Linked DNA regions of Struthio camelus. The protein of the gene in region 1 interacts with the protein of each later gene in a pairwise test. Links are inferred from orthologs where the notes say so. Each region holds a gene or a part of one and is shown in the gene's direction. Other genes may lie near its edges.

Region 1 (9,514 bases):
ACCCCCCCCCCGCGGGCGGGCGGGCCGTGACCTCTGACCCCTCCCGCAGGTGGCTGCCGTGTGGCCGCTGCTGCGGGGGGCCGCGGGGGGGGCGGCGCCGCTGCGACCCCCCCCGGGGAGGCCCCGGACCCCCCCCGCCGCCCCCTGCAGCCCCCCCGGCGGCGAGAGGGTGAGTCTGACCCCTGACCTCTGACCCCTGCCCCTGACCCCTCCCCGGACAGAGACCCTTTGGCCCCAAGCGCTGACACCGCCCCCCCCCCCCGGCCGCACTGAGCTCATGTGACCCCCATGGTTCGCCCCCCCCCCCGCCATGATGAAGCCCTTTGACCTCTGACCCCTTTAAGCAGAGTCCTTTGACCCCCTGGTCCCCTCTGACCTCTGACCCCCCGTGCCGTGATCCTTTGACCTTGGTCCTTGATGCCCCCCCCCGTTAGAGACCCCCGACCCCCCCGAAGCAGAGACCTCTGACCGCTTGGTTCCCCCTAGACAGGGACCCTGTGACCTCTGACCTGTTCCCCCCCCCCGAGAGGGACCCTGTGACCTCTGGCCCCCCCCAGACAGAGACCTCTGACCCCTTGGTTCCCCCTGTTTAAAGACCCTGTGACCTCTGACCCCCTGCTCCCCCCCATACGGGGACCCTTCGACCCCCCGTTCCCGTGCCCAGCCCTGCCCCACGCCCTGGGGGTCGCCGTGGGGCGGAAGCGGGGGGGGGATCCTCACCTCTGCCCTCCCCACCCAGCTCGCGGCGCCCCCCGGGCGCTCCCTGCACCGGCACGCGGCCCTCCAGGCGCTGGCGCCCGACGACGTCCGACGGGCCCGGGAAGCCCGGCAGCAGGCGGGAGCCGAGGAGCGGGGGCGACCGCCGCCGCCGAGGGCAGGGAGCGGGCGGGCAGGGCCGTGCCCCCCCGGCGCGCCCCCCTGCCAGCCCCGCGCCTCCCCCGGGCAGCTCAGCCACAGGGCCCGGGAGCGGAGGGTGCCCGCCTCGCGCCTGGGCCGCCTGGCCAGCTTCGGAGGTACGGGAGGAGCGGGGCGGGCGGGAGGAGCCTCTGGTTCTGGGGGGGCGAGCGCGTCGCTCCCGCGCCCTGTCCCTCCCCAGGGCTGGCCGTGGGGCTGGGGCTGGGCGCCTTGGCCGAGGCGGCGCGGACGACGCTCAGCGGGCAGCGCCAGCCCAGCCGTGAGTACCGGGACGCGCCTGCGGCTCGGCGCCCGGCGCAGGTCGGGGTGGGGGCGGGGGGGGGGGCCCCCGTGGTGGTGGTCCTGCGTGGCGGCCCCCCCGGCCCTGCCCGTCCCGCGGGGGCTCACGCGGGCTGCCCTCGCCCAGCCGCTGGCTCCCTGCTGGACTCCAGCCCCTTCCTGTCGGAGGCCAACGCCGAGCGCATCGTGGACACGCTCTGCCGGGTGCGAGGCGCCGCGCTGAAGCTGGGGCAGATGCTGAGCATCCAAGGTAGGGTGCCCCCCACCGCCCCCCCCCCGGGGGGGCCCGCGCCGGGCAGCCCTGGGGTGGCTGCGGCTGGGCCCCGGCTCCGGCACGCGCCCTCTCCCCGCAGACAGCAGCTTCCTCAGCCCCCAGCTGCAGAGGATCTTCGAGCGCGTGCGGCAGAGCGCCGACTTCATGCCGAGCTGGCAGACGAGCGTGAGTAGCTCCGTGCCCCACGCCGAGCACGCGCCGGCCCCCCCGCGACCTTCCCTCCCTCCCCGCCACCGGCGGGACGACCCAGCCGTCCCGGCGCTCCCAACCTTCCCCGCCTCGCGGTGGCGGCTGGAGGATTTTTTGCCTCGGGGCTGCTCGGCCCGGGAGCCCCGGGTTCGCGTCGGGTGCCGCCCGGCGGTCGCGTTCCCCTGGCCTGGGGCAGGGAGGCGGCAGCCCGAGCGTCCCAGCGCGCAGGCGTGCGCGTCCCAGCGCGCGTGCCGCCCGCTCCCTGTGCCGCAGCAAGTGCTGGCGGAGGAGCTGGGACCCGCCTGGCGGGAGAAGATGTCGGCCTTCGAGGAGACGCCCTTCGCGGCCGCCTCCATCGGGCAGGTGCACCTCGGCGTGCTGCGGGACGGCACGGAGGTGGCCGTGAAAATCCAGGTGAGGCGCGGCAGCGCTGGAGCGTCGGAGACGGGGAGCGAAGGGCTGGGGGGAGCCGGGGCTCGTCCCCGGCGCCGCGACCCCCGGGTCCACCCTTTCCCGTGCCTCCCCGCAGTACCCCGGCATCGCCCAGAGCATCCGCAGCGACGTGGACAACCTGCTCTCGCTGCTCAAGATGAGCGTCGCGCTGCCGGAAGGTGAGCTCCGAGCCCCGGGAAGAAGGGACATCCCCGGGCCTGACCCCACCAGCGCCTGCCCTCGGGGAGGGGCCCCTGCCCGCTCTGGGGGGGCCGCTGCCTGCCCCCTAAATCCTCGCGCCTCCCCGAGGCCTCTTCGCTGACAACACCCTGCAGGTCCTGCAGAAGGAGCTGGAGTGGGAATGCGACTATCACCGGGAAGCCGGCTGCGCCCGGACGTTCAGGTACCGCCGCGGCGGGGGCCGTCAGGGGCTGGCGTGGGGGGCGGCTCGGTCGCAGCCCCTCCCCGCACCGCCGCCTCCGCCGCCCCCCCAGGCAGCTGCTGCGGGACGACCCCTTCTTCGCGGTGCCGCGCGTCATCGACGAGCTGACCACGGCCCGGGTGCTGTCCATGGAGCTGGTGAGCGGCGTCCCCCTGGATCGGTGCCTGGAGCTCAGCCAGGACGTCCGAGACGAGGCGAGTGGTCCCCGAGCAGCCGGGTCGCGGCCGGGCCCGGGAAGGACCCGGCGCCTCTGGGTTCTTGGAGCGCGGTGCCGAAAGCTGCTCTCGCCTCGTGCCGAGGCGGCGGCCGAGCCCCCGCCGCGTCCCTCCCGCGGGTTTGGGACCTGCCTGGAGCAAGCCCTGCTCTTCTCTCGTCCAAAATAATCCCTCGCCCCCCAGATCTGCTCCAACATCCTGCGCCTCTGCCTCCGGGAGCTCTTCGAGTTTCGCTTCATGCAGACGGATCCCAACTGGGCCAACTTCTTCTACGACGCCGGGAAGCACCGAGTGAGGCGGCCGCCCTGTCCCGGGGCGAGGGTCGGCCGGGGCCCCGCGGGCGCCCGCTTCCCCCGGCGCGTCCCGGCCGAGCAGGCGCAGCTCCGCTTTCCTGCCTTGCGAATTTCGTGCTGCGCCGGCGGGTCGCGGCTCGCGTGGCCGGGACTGAGGGTCTCCGCTCCCTCTGGTTCCTCCTCTCCCCGCTGCGGCCCGGGGCAGAGCGTCCCCCGGCCCCGGGGATGAGTTCCGGAGGGGCTCCGCTTGCTGGGAAGCGCTGCGCCGCGGAGTGGGTTGGGACGCGGCGGCAGCTCTCGGAGGGGAGCGGAGCGGAGCGCGGGGCCGGCCTGTCCGTCCTCAGCGTCCGTCTCCCCGTCCCTGCTGCCTTCCAGGTGGCTCTGCTGGACTTCGGGGCCAGCCGCTCCTTCGGCAAGGAGTTCACCGACCACTACATCGAGGTACGGGCCGCGCTCGCGTGGCCGGACGCCGGGGCCCTCCCGCCCCGGCTCGCCTCACGCCCTCCCTCCGGCAGGTGGTGAGGGCCGCGGCCGACGGGGACCGGGACAAGGTGCTCCAGAAATCCAAAGACCTGAAGTTCCTGACGGGGTTTGAGACCAAGGTGAGGCTCTCGGGGTGGAGGACGGGGGGTCCGGGACCCCCTCCCCGCCACCGGCGCTAACCGTGCCCGCCCCGGCAGGCCTTCGAGGCGGCCCACGTGGACGCTGTGATGATCCTGGGCGAGGCCTTCTCCTCGGCGGGGCCCTTCGACTTCGGGGCGCAGAGCACCACGCGCCGCATCCAGGCCCTGGTGCCGGTGATGCTGCGGCACCGCCTCACGCCGCCCCCGGAGGAGACCTACTCCCTGCACCGCAAAATGGCCGGATCCTTCCTGGTGTGCGCCCGGCTCCGGGCCCGCGTGCCCTGCCGCGACATGTTTGAGGAGCTCTACGCGCGGTACTGGGCACCGCGGCCGTAGACCCGCGCGGGGACTCGGCACAGGGCAGCCGCCCCGGGGCAGGACCGGGGTCTCCCTGGACCCCCGTGGACCCTTGGGGCAGGACTGGGGTCTCCCTGGACCCCCGTGGACCCTTGGGGCAGGACTGGGGTCTCCTTGGACCCCCGTGGACCCTTGGGGCAGGACCAGGGTCTCCCTGGATCCCCTGTGGACCCTTGGGGCAGGACTGGGGTCTCCTTGGACCCCCATGGACCCTTGGGGCAGGACCGGGGTCTCCCTGGATCCCCTGCGGACCCTTGGAGCAGGACCAGGGTCTTTGGATCAGGACCAGGGTCTCCTTGGATCCCCCATGGACCCTTGGAGCAGGACTGGGGTCTCCCTGGACCCCCCCGTGCGCCACTGGCCTCCAGACTGGCCCCGTGACGCTGCTGCTGGCCCCGCTCCCGGCCCCAGTCCTGGTCCCGGCCCCGCGTGCAGCCTCCCTCCTCCCGCCGCGGGCAATAAAGACGGTGACTTTCCCCCGAGCTGGGGCAGGCTGTGCCCAGCCGGGGTGACCTTGTAGCCTGGTTTTTGGGGTGGTTTTATGGGATCTTGTGGGGTTGGGAGGGTCTGTTTTGGGGCGGGTGTCTGTGTTCCAGGGGATCTGTGTTTGAGGCAGGTTGGTGGTACGGGATCGGTTTTGGGGCAGGAAGTCTGTGTTTTGGGGCAGGTTGGTAGTATGGGATCAGTTTTGGGGCAGGAGGTCCATGTTTTGGGGCGGGTTGGTGGTACGGGATCAGTTTTGGGGCAGGAAGTCTGTGTTTTGGGGCAGGTTGGTAGTATGGGATCAGTTTTGGGGCAGGAGGTCCGTGTTTTGGGGCGGATTGGTGGTACGGGATTGGTTTTGGGGCAGGAAGTCTGTGTTTTGGGGCAGGTTGGTAGTATGGGATCAGTTTTGGGGCAGGAGGTCCGTGTTTTGGGGCGGATTGGTGGTACAGGATTGGTTTTGGGGCAGGAAGTCTGTGTTTTGGGGCAGGTTGGTGGTATGGAATAGGTTTTGGGGCAGGAGGTCCATATTTGGGGTTGGAGGTCTGTGTTTTGGGGCGGGCGGGCAGGCTGGTTGTGGGGGCTCAGTTTTGGGGCGGGAGGTCCGTGATTTGGGGCAGGCTGGTGGGGCGGGGGGATTTGGCGTTGGGGGGGGACAACCCAGCTGCGTGTATGAGGGAACCAGATGGAGGAGGCGGGGCCTCCATCTAAATGAGTGGGCGTGATCAGGTACGATCTAATTTGCATATTCATGAGCCCTCGCGCCAATGGAGGCGGGGCTGTGGTGGTCTCGCCTGCGCCCCTCCCAATGGGGGGGCGGTGACGGGGGCGTCTCATTTGCATATTCACGCGTTGGGGCGAATGGGGCGGTGGAGTGGGCGTGGCCTCGGGGCGGGCGGGGCCAAGGAGGATATTTGCATACCGCTGCGGTGCGCCCGCCCCCGCGCCACGGCGGGCTGGGGGAGCCGCCGCGGGGGGGGGGGGGGGGGAACACCTCGTTTGCATATGCATGAGGGGGGCGTGGCCGCGGGCGGGAAGCGGAAGGCGCGTGCGTGCAACATTGTAGCCACAGCCCGGCCCGGGGTGGGGGGGGGGGGGGCGCCGGGACCGGGGGCGGCGGCGGGTCCTGCCGGAGCGGAGCGGAGCCTCGGCGCTGCGGCGGGGTAAGGCCGGGGGCACCGGCCCCCCCCACCCCGCTTCCCCCGGTTCCGGGCTCCGGGGGCGGCTGGGCCCCCACCCTGGGGACACCGGGGCGGCTGCATCTCCCCCGGGGGGGTCGCAGCGGCAGCCGTGTGTGTGTGTCCCCCCAACCCCGTCCGGGCGCGGAGGGGGCCCCGGGGCAGCTGCTCCCCCCCGCCAGCTGCGGCTGCTGTTGCTGCCCCCGGCCATGGCTGCCCCCCCCCCCCGCGGCGGCTCCCCCGGTGCTTAGTCAGGGGTGGGGGCTGCTGCCGGGCCGGGCCCTGCTGCCCCTCGGCCCCCCCCCCCCACGGTGCGCTGCTCTCGGCAGCCCCCTGCAGCGTGGCCCCCCGGGAGGGGGGGGACACGCGTGGGGTCCTGCGTCCGCAGCCCGCAGGCCCGGCCCCACGGAGGGGGGGAGGCATCCTGCGACCTGGCAGGGGGCTGTGGGGCCGGGGCGCGGGGGGGAGGCGTCCCGCGCGCGTGGTCCTGGGTGGGGGGGACGCGTGGGGCGTCCTGGGGGGGGCCAGGGCAGCAGGACGTGGCACCCCATGAGTGTGGCACTGGGTGGGGCTGACATGCGTGTCCCTGGCAGGAGGCCGTGGGGTGTCCCTGCTGGGCCTGGGGGGGCCTGGGGGGGCCAGGAGCAGCAGGATGCGGTGCCCCATGAGCGTGGCCCTGGGAGGGGGGGGCACGTGGCCGTGGGGGCCCGGGGCAGCCGGGGCCACCTGCGGCGCGGCCGGGCCGCGAGGCCCTGGCGGGTGGGGCTGGGGGGTCTGCGGGGCGGGGGGCAGCGGGCTGCACGCCCCCACCCCTCGCTGCCTGGGCCCTGCCTGCGCCCCGGGGAGGGCAGGCGGGACCCCCTGCCCGCGAGCTCTCGGCGGCGGGTGCTGCGGGCTGGGCCGGGTTTGCCCCCTTCGCCTCGCTGGGCGCCGGGTGCGGGGCCCCCCGTCCGGGGGATTTGGGGGCGTTCGGCCCCAGGGCAGGCAGATAACGGGAGCGGCCCTGCAGCGCCCCGGGGCGCCCGGCGTGACGCCGCTGCCGGGCTCCCCTCCCTGCCCAGCTGCGGCGGGGTGAGGGCGCCCGGACGCCTGGGCCCCGACAGCGGCAGGACTCCCGGGTTCCCCGGCTCCGGGAGGCGAAGAGGAGCCGTCCCGAGCGCCGCGGCCGGGGCGGCACCGGCATCCCGCCGGCACCGAGGCCTTGGGTGCGCGAGGGGCCTTGGGGTGGGGCGACCCCAGTGCCGCTGCGGGGTCCCCGGCAGCCCGGCCCCCCGGGGCGCGCGGGGTGGTGGCCGCGGCCGCCCTGGGTGGTGCCCCCCGTGCTCGCAGCGTGCGGGTGGCCGAGCCGGCCAGGCCGAGGCAGGAAGTCAGGAAACGATCGGGAAATATTACTGTCCATTAACGAGCCACGATTCCCCCGAAGCGCCCCCGCCCCGGCGGCGGCGGCCAGGACGCCTGGGTCCTCTTCCAGCCTTTGCTACGGAGCAGCCGCGGCGCCTGCCTCGGTTTCCCCGCGCAGGGCGCCCGCCCCCCGTCGCTGCGTGTCCCGGAGCCGGACGAGGGGCCGGCGGAGCTGCCCCCGGGAGGGCTGGGGGGCCGTGGGACGCCCAGCACGGGGCCGCCCCCCGCCCGGCCTGGCGCTCCGCGTGGGGCCGGGGCAGCAGCTGAGGAAACAACCGCCGAGGCCGGTGTTTGCCGGCGCGGAGCCCGGGGGGGGGTTTGGCAGCGGGAGCCGGGGGGAGTGCGGCTGCGCCCGGGGGCCAGGCGCTCCCCCGGCCCCGTTCCCAGCGCTGCGCGGCGCAGGCACAGTTTGCCTTCCCTGGCTGCGGTGTCCCATGTGCCCCCCGCGACGTCCCCTGGGCCGCGGCGTCCCCGCTGAGCTGTGCCAGCATGGGGGGGGGCCCTTCCTTGGGCTAAATATACCCGGGGGGGGGGAGCCTGCGATGGCCCAGTTCAGTCTGGAGCTGCCGAGATCAAAGCGGGAGGAGATGGGGCCCCCCCGGTCCCCAGTGCAGCTTTGATCACTGGGAGAGGCTGCTGCGCCCACCCATGGGTGCTCAGCCTGCCTGGGTGGGGAGAGCTAGGGGATGCCCCCCCGTTGCCCCCACCCTGGTCCCTGCTTGGGGTGGGGGCTGGGGGGGGTGTCAGACCCTCTTACCCTTCCCACCCCATAGAGGAAGGGGGAAACCCAGGCGTCCTGGCCCTGCTGTGGGGCAGGGGGGGCTTGTTCACCCCCCCAACCCCTGTCCCCCCCCCAGGCCTGCGGGGTCAGCGATGAACAAGCTGCGCCAGAGCCTGCGTCGGAAGAAGCCGGCGTACGTGCCGGAGGCCAGCCGGCCCCACCAATGGCAGGCGGACGAGGAGGCCGTGCGGCGCGGCAAGTGCAGCTTCCCCGTGCGGGTGAGCGTGCGGGGCGGCCGTGCGCGCCCGGGGCGGCCTCTGCCCGCGCCAGCGTTCGCGGGCGCCCCCCCGGCGTGGGTCCTTGTGCACGGGGTGTGCGTTGGCCAGCCAGCGTGGGTCCTCGTGCACGGGGCGTGCACCGGCCAGCTGGCGTGGGTCCTCGTGCACGGGGTGAGGTGCTCGTGCATGGCGTGTGCACCGGCTGCCTGACGCAGGTCCTTATGCACGGGGCGTGCACCGGCTGCCCAACGTGGGTCCTCGTGCACTGGCCAAGCACCAGCCGGGGCAGGGGGCCGCCGGGGCGCTCGGGGCAGGGGCACGGCCCGTGCTGACGGACGCCCTGCTCTGCAGTACCTGGGGCACGCGGAGGTGGACGAGTCGCGGGGCATGCACGTGTGCGAGGAGGCCGTGAAGAAGCTCAAGGCGGTGAGTGCCCTGCGAGGGCCGGGCGCGCGGCGGGGCCCCACCGCTGCCGGATTTCTGGTGGACTTAGCGCCAGGCCGCCCGGGAAGGGGCTCGACGCCTGTCCCTCTCCCACGGGTTGCTCTCCCATCCCGCCGGGGCCAGGTCCCTCGGCGCCCTGCTGATGCCGGCTCGTTGCAGAGCGGCCGCAAAGCCGTGAAGTCGGTGCTGTGGGTGTCGGCGGACGGGCTCCGCGTGGTGGACGACAAGACCAAGGTGAGCGGGTGCCCTGGGTGTCCCCAGCCAGGGCGGCGCGGCGGGAGCCGGCCCCGGCTCACGCGTCCCCCTCCTCGCCCAGGACCTCCTCGTCGACCAGACCATCGAGAAGGTCTCGTTCTGTGCCCCCGACCGCAACTTTGACAAGGCCTTCTCCTACATCTGCCGGGATGGCACCACGCGCCGCTGGATCTGCCACTGCTTCCTGGCCCTCAAGGACTCCGTGAGTGCTGGGCGCTGGGGCCGGGTGGGCAGGATGCGCCGGCTCGTGATGCCCTGGGTCGGGCATGCGGGATGCCCCAGCACCCATGGGACGCACCGGGAATGGGTACGCCGGATTGCCCGGGGCCGGGTGCGCAGGATGCCCCAGCTCCCATGGGACACACCAGGAATTGTGCGTGGGATGCACTGGGGCCGGGTGCGTGGGATGCCCCAGCTCCTATGGGACGCACCGGGAATGGGTGCACGGGATGCCCCGAGGCGGGTGTACGGGATGCCCCAGCTCCCATGGGACGCACCAGGAATGGGTGCACGGGATGCCCCAGCTCCCATGGGACGCACCGGGAATGGGTGCACGGGATGCCCCGAGGCCGGGTGTACGGGATGCCCCAGCTCCCATGGGACGCACCAGGAATGGGTGCACAGGATGCCCCGAGGCCGGGTGTACGGGATGCCCCAGCTCCCATGGGACGCACCGGGAATGGGTGCACAGGATGCCCCGAGGCCGGGTGTACGGGATGCCCCAGCTCCCATGGG
Region 2 (10,027 bases), on another chromosome or scaffold:
CATTTCTTAGGGAGGTTCCATCATGTTTCAGGACAGCTGTGGGACTACGGGCTTGATTACTCTGCCACCGCGACATCCGTAGCCAGAGCAAGCTGCCAGGCATCGCTGCCTCTGCTCCAGATGGGCCAGATGCCCAGCGTGAGCATTTTGGATGGCAGAGAAGAGAAGCAATAGCCGCATCTTGCCTCTGCCTAGGCCCCAAGGGCTCACAGGGACCCAGAGCCCAGCCTCCCTCCCCTGGTGGTACCGCATCTCTTCACTCAAGCACTCCTCCACTACCATGGCACTGTATGGACATCACCTCTAACCAAGGAGGGCTCTGCTCAAGAGGCCACTCACCAAGGAAAGGGACCCCAGCATGCTTGGCCAATTCTTCACCTCCCCCTTTGGAAAAGATGTTTGTGCACTCCTAAAGGAGGAAAAGAAATAGCAGTTAGTCATAAACACCAGTGGGCAGAGCCCTGTGCAACAGGACAGGCGCTGGTTGGGTGTGAGCGAAGCTAACTTCCTCCACCTTCTAACCTCAGGGCACTGTGTTCGCCCCTGCCCTCCCACAGCTCTCTTTAGGAAAGCACAGCTGGCAGCTTCTTCCAAACCTCCAGCCAGGAGATTCTCATCTCCCAGGACACCGCATCGCCCCTCACAGCATTCACTGACTTGCAGCCTGAGGTGCCAGATCATATAACAGCCATATCATGAATAAGAACCCATAACAGCCCAGCAGTATCGAGAAACTCACCGAACAGTGCGGGCAGACAAAGCCACTCATGTTCTCCACGATCCCAAGAACTCGCAAACCGGTCTTTTTACAGAACGTCAGCTCTCGCCTCACATCCCCCACAGACACTGCCTGCAGGGGAGAGCAGGCGAGGGTTAGGGGTGTCTGTCTCTGGCCAGATTCTAGTTCTGGAGCAGGCATACACGCACACAGACAGTTTGTAGCACGCATAGAGAAGGGGGCTTGGGAGAGGCTCTCTCCCCATTGCTGGCCATAGCTTGGGCTAAGAGTCCTCACTGCACTCCAGAAGAGCTGACCACAGGCAACACACTGGAAGATGGGCGACAGTGTTGCACGGTTTGAAGGGGTTGGGCAGTGGCTGCAGCAAGACCTGCGCTGAAGTGACAGATGCGCTCAGCTTCCACCTTTCCAGCTGGCCTCACACTTGGGCAGCCCCTGGCTGAGTACAGGCTTGTGTGTAAACAAAGGCAGATATCGGACAAACTTGGATTTGAGAGCAGCCTTGACTCATAAGTGACTGACAGATGTCAGAGATGTCCTGAGGGACAAGCAGTGGCTGCATCGGGGGTAGAAATGTAAAGTAAGTAGCCGCAGATAGGCCTGCGAAAACACCCACCCTCGAGCGCATATTCCCCCACCAACCGAGCCCAGAGACAGGGCAGGTCACCCAGCACGCTGCCCTACCTGAGGTGTCGTGACTAGGATTGCTCCAAGAGGCTTGTACGGCCGCAAGGCCTCCACTGTGGAGATGTGCTCATCAGATGTGCCCGGAGGAGTGTCCACAATGAGAAAGTCCAGTTCCCCCCAGGCCACATCAGCAACAAATTGTTTTATCAAAGCTGCAGAAATAAAAGGGGTGAAAAATCTCAGGTTTTAGCAAGTGTCCTGGGAGCCGTGTGGTCAGGAGGCATCCTGGGGGGGACAGAGGAGAGCAGGGCTACCTGTCAGCAGAGCACATGCAGCACAGCCTGAACCACCTGCACCCACACAGGGGAAGACAGCCCTGGAGTGCAAGAGCCTTGTCTTGCCCCAAGTCACTTGGAGCCCTCTCTCCAAGGCTAATTGGACTCCACAGTACCTGGCTACATACAGAGACCTCACTAAGGCAGCAGGTCACTGATGTGTGCCAAGGGGACAGCCCTAACCCACCCAGACAATGTAACATGGACTTACCACATTGGAGATATTTTCATTGCTAATGAGGTCTCAGCTGAGACCAGCAGCGATAGAGCACAGCCTCTCCCCCTGCCATTTACATCAGCTGCCTCTAAGCCACCGGCCTCTGTCCCAGGAGAGAGGCTTTCAGACTGCAGCCTACGTTTGAACACAGGCTGCCAAGGAACAGCATGTCTGGGAGAGCCTGGGCCCTGGACAGAACAAACATCAGCTCCAGGAAGTTTTGCAGAAGGCACGTAGCGCTGGAAGGTTGTTACCAAGAGCAAAAACGGTCTGTACCATTTTTCTTGGGTCCTCTCCACACCACAGCATCATCTGGCTTCTCCAGCAGGAAGCCGATGGACATCAGTGAGATGCTTTTGTCTTGGTCCACGAAGACTGGCACCCAGCCGCTGTCGCATTGGTGCACGTCATTGTCCTGGACCTTGAACATGCGGGGTATGCTGGGGCCACACAGGTCCACATCCAGGATCCCCACCTGCAGGCGACCAGGCAGAGCCTTTCAGATAGGCCTGAGCACCACTGTAGCACCCAGCTGCGCTCCTTCCTTGGGCAAGGGAAAGGAACACATGAATTCCAGCAGCTCTCAGCACTTCACAGAGAGGACTCTCAAGTTCAGAAGCCAAAGTGCCAGTTCTGACTGGTATCATTTGACTAGGGTCTCCCAGATCTCCATCCTTCCATGGAATCTCTCTTTGGTATTTAGAGGCTCTTTAAGAAAATCTTTATTCAGGAGACCTATCAGAATTTAAGTGGCATCTGCTCCACAGAGCCTTTAAAAAAATCCTCAGTCTGTCTCATGCCCACGCAGCTCCCCTTTGCCCCCACGGTAATGCTGTCTTTCAGCTCACTCACTTCACTCCACAAAGTGGCTGTGTATCATACAAAAAAAGCAAGTCATTTCTTGGTGCCTTCATTTTACACATGACAAAAATAACATTTTAGTCTCCTGGGTAAAGGGGAAGTGAACCGTGCAATTTGCTAGAGGCTGGACTGTGCAGGATCAAGTAAGCACAGGAAAAAAAAAAGGACTCAAGTTTCTGTTATAGACAGCTCTTCTGTTTACGGCAGCAGCCTCCACCATGAAGGATCTTCACGCTGTGCTCACAGAACAGACACACGCAGAAAGGCTGAGTAAAACCAAGCCCAGATGGAGGTCAGAAGGGAGAGCACATAGAGCTCCCCATCCCACAGACCCTCACTCACCTTTTTCCCAGAGTGGCGCAGAGACAAAGCCAGCTCGGTGGCGATGGTGCTCTTCCCCACGCCGCCCTTCCCCGAGAGCACCAGGAGGATGTGCCGCACCCCTGCCAGGTTACTTCTCTCTAGGAAGAACAGTAACAGGACATCAGACTCTCTTCTTGACCTCAAGTTGTGCAGGCAGCAATGCCCTGACCAGCCAGCTCAGAGCCAGCCTCCACTGCGCCAGTAACGTGCTGCAAACAATAACAGCAGCTGTCACCAGCTGAGATGAGATGATGCAACATCAATAAGCTTGTTTTAAGCATAAGAAAACAGGGCAGAAAAATGGTGGATTTGACATAGACCTTCTGCTATGAGGAAAGGGAAGATCAGAGCAACAGCAAGACCAATAAAGAGCCTGTGGAGAGTAAAAATTTTGACCCGGTGACCTATGCAGTACTCAAGCAGCAAAGTAATACACATCCAGAGAAGGACTTTGTCACGCTTTGCCTGGAGCAGATTTTAATCTGAGCTCCTCGCAGGAATTGCCATGAGGCTTTCTGTGAAATCACCCCCTCGGCATTTCCTCTCTTTGCACCATGCTGCTCGCCCTCCTGGGAGGCCCGGGTCACCTCGAGCCTCCTTGCCGCGCTGTCAGCGTGCGTTTTGGTCTGAGCGGCTCCCGCTTAGGGCTCTGCCGCCGCGAGCTTCTGACGCGGAGTACAGTTGAAGAGGGAGAAATAAAGAGGAGAAAAACCCGCCGGCGCCGGCTCCCGCGGGAAGCGCTAACGGGGAGACAGGCCGGGGGGGCGGAGGGGGGCGCTGCCGGCGGGAGTCCCCGGCTCGGAGCCCCGGGAGCGCGGGGCAGCGTCGGGGGCCGGCGCGGGCAGGCGCCGCCCAACCCGCCCCGCGTTCCCGGGCGGCCCGTCACCGCCGCCCGCCTGACTCAGAGCCCCGGCAGGCGTCCGGCAGGTACCCGCCGCCCGGCACCGCGCCGCGCCGCCCGCATGGAGACCGCCCGCACCATGGCGGACCTCATCCGCACCTCCACCGACGGTAACGGCGGGCGGGACGGGCGGGGCGTTACGCGGAGCCGCGTCGCAAGGCGGCCCCGGGAGCTCCGGTCACCCCGGCGCTGCCTCCGCCGCCGCCGGGCCCCGCCACACCGGGCCCCCTGGCGGGAGCCGGGCACCGGGAGACCCGAACCCCTGCCAGGCCCCACCGCTGCGGCGCTCCGGCCGCCGGGATCCGGGCCCCGCCGCCCAGGCCCCGCCGCCCAGGCCCGTCCCCGTCCCGCCTAGGGCTCCCCCCACCGGGAGCCGGGCCGACGGCCCCGCGCCCGCCGCCCGCCCCGGGGCTGCCTCCCCCGGAAAGGCCGGGACGAGGCCGGAGCCCCCCCAGCCCCTGCCGGCGCCAGTCCCCGGCAGCCCCCACCCCGCGGGGAGGGCAGGAGCACCCGGCGGCGCGGCCGCGGCCCCACACTCACCCCCCACCGCCTCCTCCATGCTGCTGCCCGCCTCGCTTCCGCCTTCCGGCGGCGGAAGCCCCGCCCCCCGCAGAGTGGCAGGCACCTCTCCCAATCGCGAGCCACACACGCTCCTCTCCGGCCGCCGTAGCTACGCCAAGCTGCTCTCTCACCCCCGTTCCCCCAGCCTCCAGTCTCGATGGGCGTCGCGGCCAGCCAATGAGCTTAGCGCTTTGCCCCGCAGCGCGCGATAGCCGCCAGCGGTCGCCGCCCAATGGCGCGCCGTCTTTACGACTGGCAGGCAGGGCAGCCAGTGGCGTGGCGCTGAGGGCGGGCGCCTTCCCCGCCGCGCCCTCCCCCTCGCCGCAGCCGTGAGCGGCGGGGCGCTCCGCCAACCGCGAACGCCTCCCGCCGGGATCCGGCGCGGCTTCAGCCAATGGGCGCGGGGGGACGGGGCCAAGTGTGGATTGTTTATGTCCCGGGAGGGGAAAGTAGGTCAGAGCGCGGCGGCCGGGCCGGGCCGGGCCGGGCAGGTGAGGCCGGGGCCCGGGGCGGGCGGCGGCGAGCGCAGGGGCCGGGCCGGGCCGGGCCGGGCCGGGCCTCGTTCCTCGCTCCTCCCTGGCGTCCGCCGCTGGGCCCCCCGGGGCCTGGCCTGGCCCGGCCCGGTGCGGGGCCGGGCGAGGCGGCCCTGCCGTACCGGCCCTGCCGTACCGGCCCTGCCGTACCGGCTGCGGCCCCGCGGCCGCTGGCGGGAGCCCCGGGCTCGGCGCGGTGCTGGGAGAAGGGAGCGGCATGTCTGCCTGCCGCGGGCGCTGCGCCGGGCCGGGGCCGGGGCTCGCGGGCGGGGTGCGAGGCCCTGTCCCAGGGAAAGGTGAAGCGGTGGAGCGAGCGGGGGTGCGCAAAGCAGCTGAGCGCGGCGGGGAGCGGGGGGGCTGCTGCCCGCCCCGGTGGGCCCGTGCGTGCGGCCTGGCCAGCCGGCGGGGCTGAGCTGAGGGAGCGGGTTTGGGAGGCAGGCGGCGGCTTACAGCTCACGGCGGGGAGCTGTTTTGGCTAAAGTAAACTCCAGGAGAAATGAGTTTGCACATCAAAGTTGTGCTGTCACGTTTCCATCTGCTGCAAAGCTGAGGCATGATGCCTGAGAGCGTGTTTGGTCTGTCGAGCTGGCTGCAGGGCCATGTAAGTCTGTCTCTGCGTAGCGTTGCTGCTCAGTTCAGGACATGAGAGTGTCTTTGCTTCTGTCTGCTGTCCCTGAGGCAAGTCGGGACAGGCCCCCGGAAAGGGCATTTTCCCTTCAGCAAGCAGGAATGAAATCTCTTCCCCCACTCCCAAATGCTGAGAGCAAAGTCTTTGCTGAAGTGTCTCCTGCTCACAGCCCGAACAGGCAGTTGCTTGGCGATGAACAAACAGCATTTGCAGCAGGTGGGCGCAGGCAGTTTGGCCCACGTGGTGGCTGCAGCGATGGCCAGGGTGGTGCAGAGGGCTGAGCGGTTCGGTCAGAGCCCAAGCAACTGCTCAAGGGTTAGCGGGCACAGGGGAGGCCGTGTCTTGATGACTGGTGATCCTGACTCTCTTCAGGCCAGGTAGATCCTGGATGGCAGCTGCTGCCAGATCCTAGGAACGGTTTGGGGGATCCAGCAAAGTGGCTGGGCTCAGGGAGAAGTTGACCCCAGTATTTGTCAGGCAGTGTGCGCTGTGTGGCAGAAGAAGTTGAAGTCTGCAGAAGCCTGTGGTGCCAGAGGAACTTACTTTACTACTGTGTCCATTGATGGCGACTGTAAAGACACGGTTCATGCTGATCTGTTCCCGTGTGGGGTCTGGTGACTTGGGGGAGGTTGCTGCAGAGGTAGAGCTGGGTGAGTGGCGGGTGGAAGAGGAACGCTGCTGCTGTGTGTAACCCCTTCTCCCTTGGCATCCACAGCTTACCTCTCTCGGAATACCATGGCGCGACGCACGCGTAACAGCAGGGCCTGGCATTTCGTCCTGAGCGGGGTGCGCCGCGACGCAGACACTCGGGCAGTCGCCTTGGCCACTGGTTCACGGGGCCGGGGCTATGACTCCGATGGGCAGGTAGGTAGGCAGGCCAGCGTACGGAGAGCTTGAAAGTGACGCAAGGGGAAACCTTCCTTCTCCCCCTGACGTCAGGCATTGGTTGCTCAAGGTCTGTGTATTGAGCAGCTAGTATTTCCGCACCAAAAAACTGGCCCAAAATCGGAAAAGACCCTTACTAAGTTTACAGGCATTCTAACCAGATGGAGGCAGTTGTTTGTCTGGCTCCGAGTTCCGCTAACGCGGGGTGTAGGACTCCCAAGCGTATCTTTCCACAACAAGAGCTAGCTAAGCAGCTTATAGCCTGCTCCTGCCGTTGTGCAGTAGAGCTCTGTGCCTTGTGGTTATTTGGGCCAACGGAACTGATTGGTACTAAGCTAAACTTTCTCTCTTAACTATATAAAGTGTGTGTATGTAGTGTATATAGAATATTTTTGACATGTACTTTTTAAATAGTGATCTAAATACATGTTTAAACTAGATCAGTTCTCCAGTCTGGCCTGCTGTATGGCCATGCTAACTTCTTGTCCTCATGCAGCTGTTGCTGGAGGGAGCAGGGGCTGCTTCATATTCAATTCATGCTTGAATACTTTCTAATTTAAACTCCCTTATGCTTCCAAACCCATAATGTGTACATCACTTCTGAATCTGGCCCTGGCATGCTGATACGCTGGAGGACAGGAATACAGTGGGGAAAGCAGTCAGTAAAACAGTGCAAGGAGTGAATTAGACTCACCTCCGCCTCCTTCACCCCTTTTCCCCAGTCCTTGAGTATGTTGAGTTCTATCCCCAAGCAGTGTGCACTGGTGGAAACCCAAGGAGCTGCTCCGGATGCTTAAAAGATAGGCTCAAGTGTTATAAGGTCACTGCCAGAGCACTATGTCCGAATCTCTACGCAGCACTCCAAGAAAAGGAGCCTTTTCTCTGCTGTCAGAGTAGCTTTTCCTGCAGTAATAGGAACAGCCAGATCTCTAGAGAGCAGTAGTTCTGGAGGGGCAATGAAAGGCAGAAGTAAAGCTCCCTAATCTGCAGGGCAGATTTAGAAAAGGAGAAGGGGGGTTGGCAGTAGATAAGTAAGCCTGGGTCATTTCAAGTCCCACTGTCTTGCACAGCTAAAGAAACATGAGTTTAAAAGGGTTTTGCCTTTAAACAGGGATTACAAAATCTGCCATGGGCATTGGGGTGAGGGTGAATAACAAGCAGGTATATCTGACCAGCGTGCAAACCCAGAGTAACTTGCTGAGGTCTAGAGTAAGAGACTCCATTAGGTGACACCAAACCTCCCATAACGCATGGGCCAGCACACAGCTCTTATAGCGTCCAGTGCAGGTGACACCAAATCTCCCATAACGCATGGGCCAGCACACAGCTCTTATAGCGTCCAGTGCAGGTGACACCAAATCTCCCATAACACATGGGCCAGCACACAGCTCTTATAGCGTCCAGTGCAGGTGACACCAAATCTCCCATAACACATGGGCCAGCACACAGCTCTTATAGCGTCCAGTGCAGGCACACTTCAGTCTCCTGGCATTGGGGAATAGCAAATCAAGTTTTTGTGTTCGTGCATGAAAGTAAACAAAAGCCTTTTACTCCTTCAGTGGGTTCCCTGTGGGCCTGTCTGCAGTACTGGTATGAGGAGCCGCAGCCTTACTGCTTAACTGGTTCTGCTTTGTTCTGCCAGCTCCCCTGCCTGGCCTCCTTTTTTCCCCTTTTCCTTCTCGTCTTGTTTATCTGTCTTCTCCTTCAGTTCTTAGTCTCTCTAGAGCAGAGGTTTTTCAGCAGTGTGGCTCTCTTCTAGCTTGGCAGTAGAGGCCCAGACTCCTTTGGAGCTGTATAGTTTCTGCATACAGCATTGTATATGTGTGCGCTTTATTTGTGATGCCTTGGATATGGCCTCCAGTCCTCCCAGGAGTCTGTAACCTGCATGTTGAAAACCTCAGCTCTAGCACAGAGTTTCCTTAAATAAGTATGCCATGCACTGTTCAGAGCTTGTCATGTTGCTTGCCTGCTGTGCCCCTTCCTACCTCCTTAACCCCCGCAGTCATGGGGGCTTCTGTACATGGCAGGGCCCTGGAAGCTACAAAGGCACAAAGAGCATATCCACATCGTACGGTGCCTGGTTCCACGAGATCCTGCCCAGTTTTGGGGGGAAAGCTCTGCAGCACAGCCAGATACTAGCCAGGTCCTAGAAGCAGGGTGTTTTCACTGGCGCAGCCCCTTGCCTCCGTGCAGGACAGGCCAGGCCTGGGCACAACACAGCCATGCTGCTGCTGGCTCTGGAGCGAGCTTGGGGATCTCTCCACGTGGCTCTGTGCTGTGCGGGTGTCCCATGAGCAGCCTGGCTGTAGGGAGAGCAGGCCTATCTGCTGGCTGTGAGTCTAGCTGTCTGATTGTGGGGGTGTTTAGTAATGACTGTTCCTCTGTTCTCCCGGCAGCACAGCGACTCGGATTCGGAGCCAGAGTTTTCTTCCCTCTCGCCCTCCATCCCAAGCGCCATCCCCGTGACCGGAGAATCCTACTGCAACTGCGAGAACCAGAATGAGGCTCCCTACTGCTCCAGCTTGCATGCCATCCACCGCGTCAAGGACTGCCAGTGCGGCGAGGAGGACGAGTGTAAGCAAGGGGCTCCTCAACTGGCCTTCGTGTTCCTTTGGGGTTCGTGGTGGGTGCGGTCCTGGCTCCCCTCCTGTTGGTTGAATGGTGGCACAGACCACCTCCCCCGTACAGATGCTTAGGTGTGCACGGGGATCCTTATTGCTATCGCTGCATACGGTGCTCCTCTGTTTACATCTCAAGGCTGTGCAGAACTTAGGAAGGTTACAAGCCCGTGCGTTCTGTGGTGATTCAAGAGCTCAGGGCTGAACCTGTCGGTGAATCAGAGTTCACCTCTGGAGACCTGCTTTCACATCTAGCTCAGGCCACAAATGGAAACTGGCCCTTGTGGTTACAGCCCTGTTAATGCTGATCCCTGGTACAGCTGGCAGGCCCCCAGATACGTGGCAGGGTCTACCCAGAGCAACTGAGGAAAGCTAGGCAGAGGGTGGGCCTGGCCTGACCAAGAAAGCCTGTAGGATAGAGGAGCTATCATGGTGCTTGTGCTCTGCCTTTAGCCCCTTGAGGCTACAAGAAATGAGTGTGATTCCCCCCAAAGAAACCCGGGGCTCCATGTGGCTCTGCACTGCTGTTGCTGTGACTAGAGCCCAGCTGAGTGACTGTGCAGCTTGCTCTTCCAGGCTGGGTTTGGTTTGCCAGGCCCTGAGAGCTGTATCACCCCCTCTCCTTCTGCTCTCAGCTTGTGCCCAGCCACGTGCACCAACGGCACCTGGAATGAGGGGACCACAATTGCTGAGGCTGGAGAAGCCACTTTGCAACGGCCACCCTGTGCTCTGAGATGAGAACTGGTTAATGCTGGCAGC

The links.
Region 2: the proteins of NUMBL (region 1) and SPSB3 interact in binary tests that used the Homo sapiens proteins (3 or more experiments, as listed by UniProt). The two-hybrid records come from large-scale screens. The link is inferred for Struthio camelus from reciprocal best matches to the Homo sapiens genes NUMBL and SPSB3.

Annotation. Positions count from the first base shown.
Region 1 is NC_090957.1:579,621-589,134, reverse strand, and holds the start of NUMBL (numb-like protein), read left to right. Parts: upstream 1-5,539; 5' UTR 5,540-5,665; intron 5,666-7,938; 5' UTR 7,939-7,954; coding exon 7,955-8,080; intron 8,081-8,431; coding exon 8,432-8,506; intron 8,507-8,647; coding exon 8,648-8,758; intron 8,759-8,840; coding exon 8,841-8,981; intron 8,982-9,514. Other genes in the region: COQ8B (atypical kinase COQ8B, mitochondrial), read left to right, coding at 50-169, 740-1,013, 1,097-1,174, 1,322-1,444, 1,548-2,071, 2,187-2,268, 2,399-2,492, 2,584-2,725 and 4 more. UniProt on the Homo sapiens protein: Plays a role in the process of neurogenesis. Required throughout embryonic neurogenesis to maintain neural progenitor cells, also called radial glial cells (RGCs), by allowing their daughter cells to choose progenitor over neuronal cell fate.
Region 2 is NC_090956.1:17,458,564-17,468,590, reverse strand, and holds the start of SPSB3 (SPRY domain-containing SOCS box protein 3), read left to right. Parts: upstream 1-5,768; 5' UTR 5,769-5,779; coding exon 5,780-5,981; intron 5,982-6,480; coding exon 6,481-6,629; intron 6,630-9,046; coding exon 9,047-9,224; intron 9,225-10,027. Other genes in the region: cytosolic Fe-S cluster assembly factor NUBP2, read right to left, coding at 340-409, 740-850, 1,424-1,578, 2,195-2,393, 3,122-3,240, 4,584-4,602.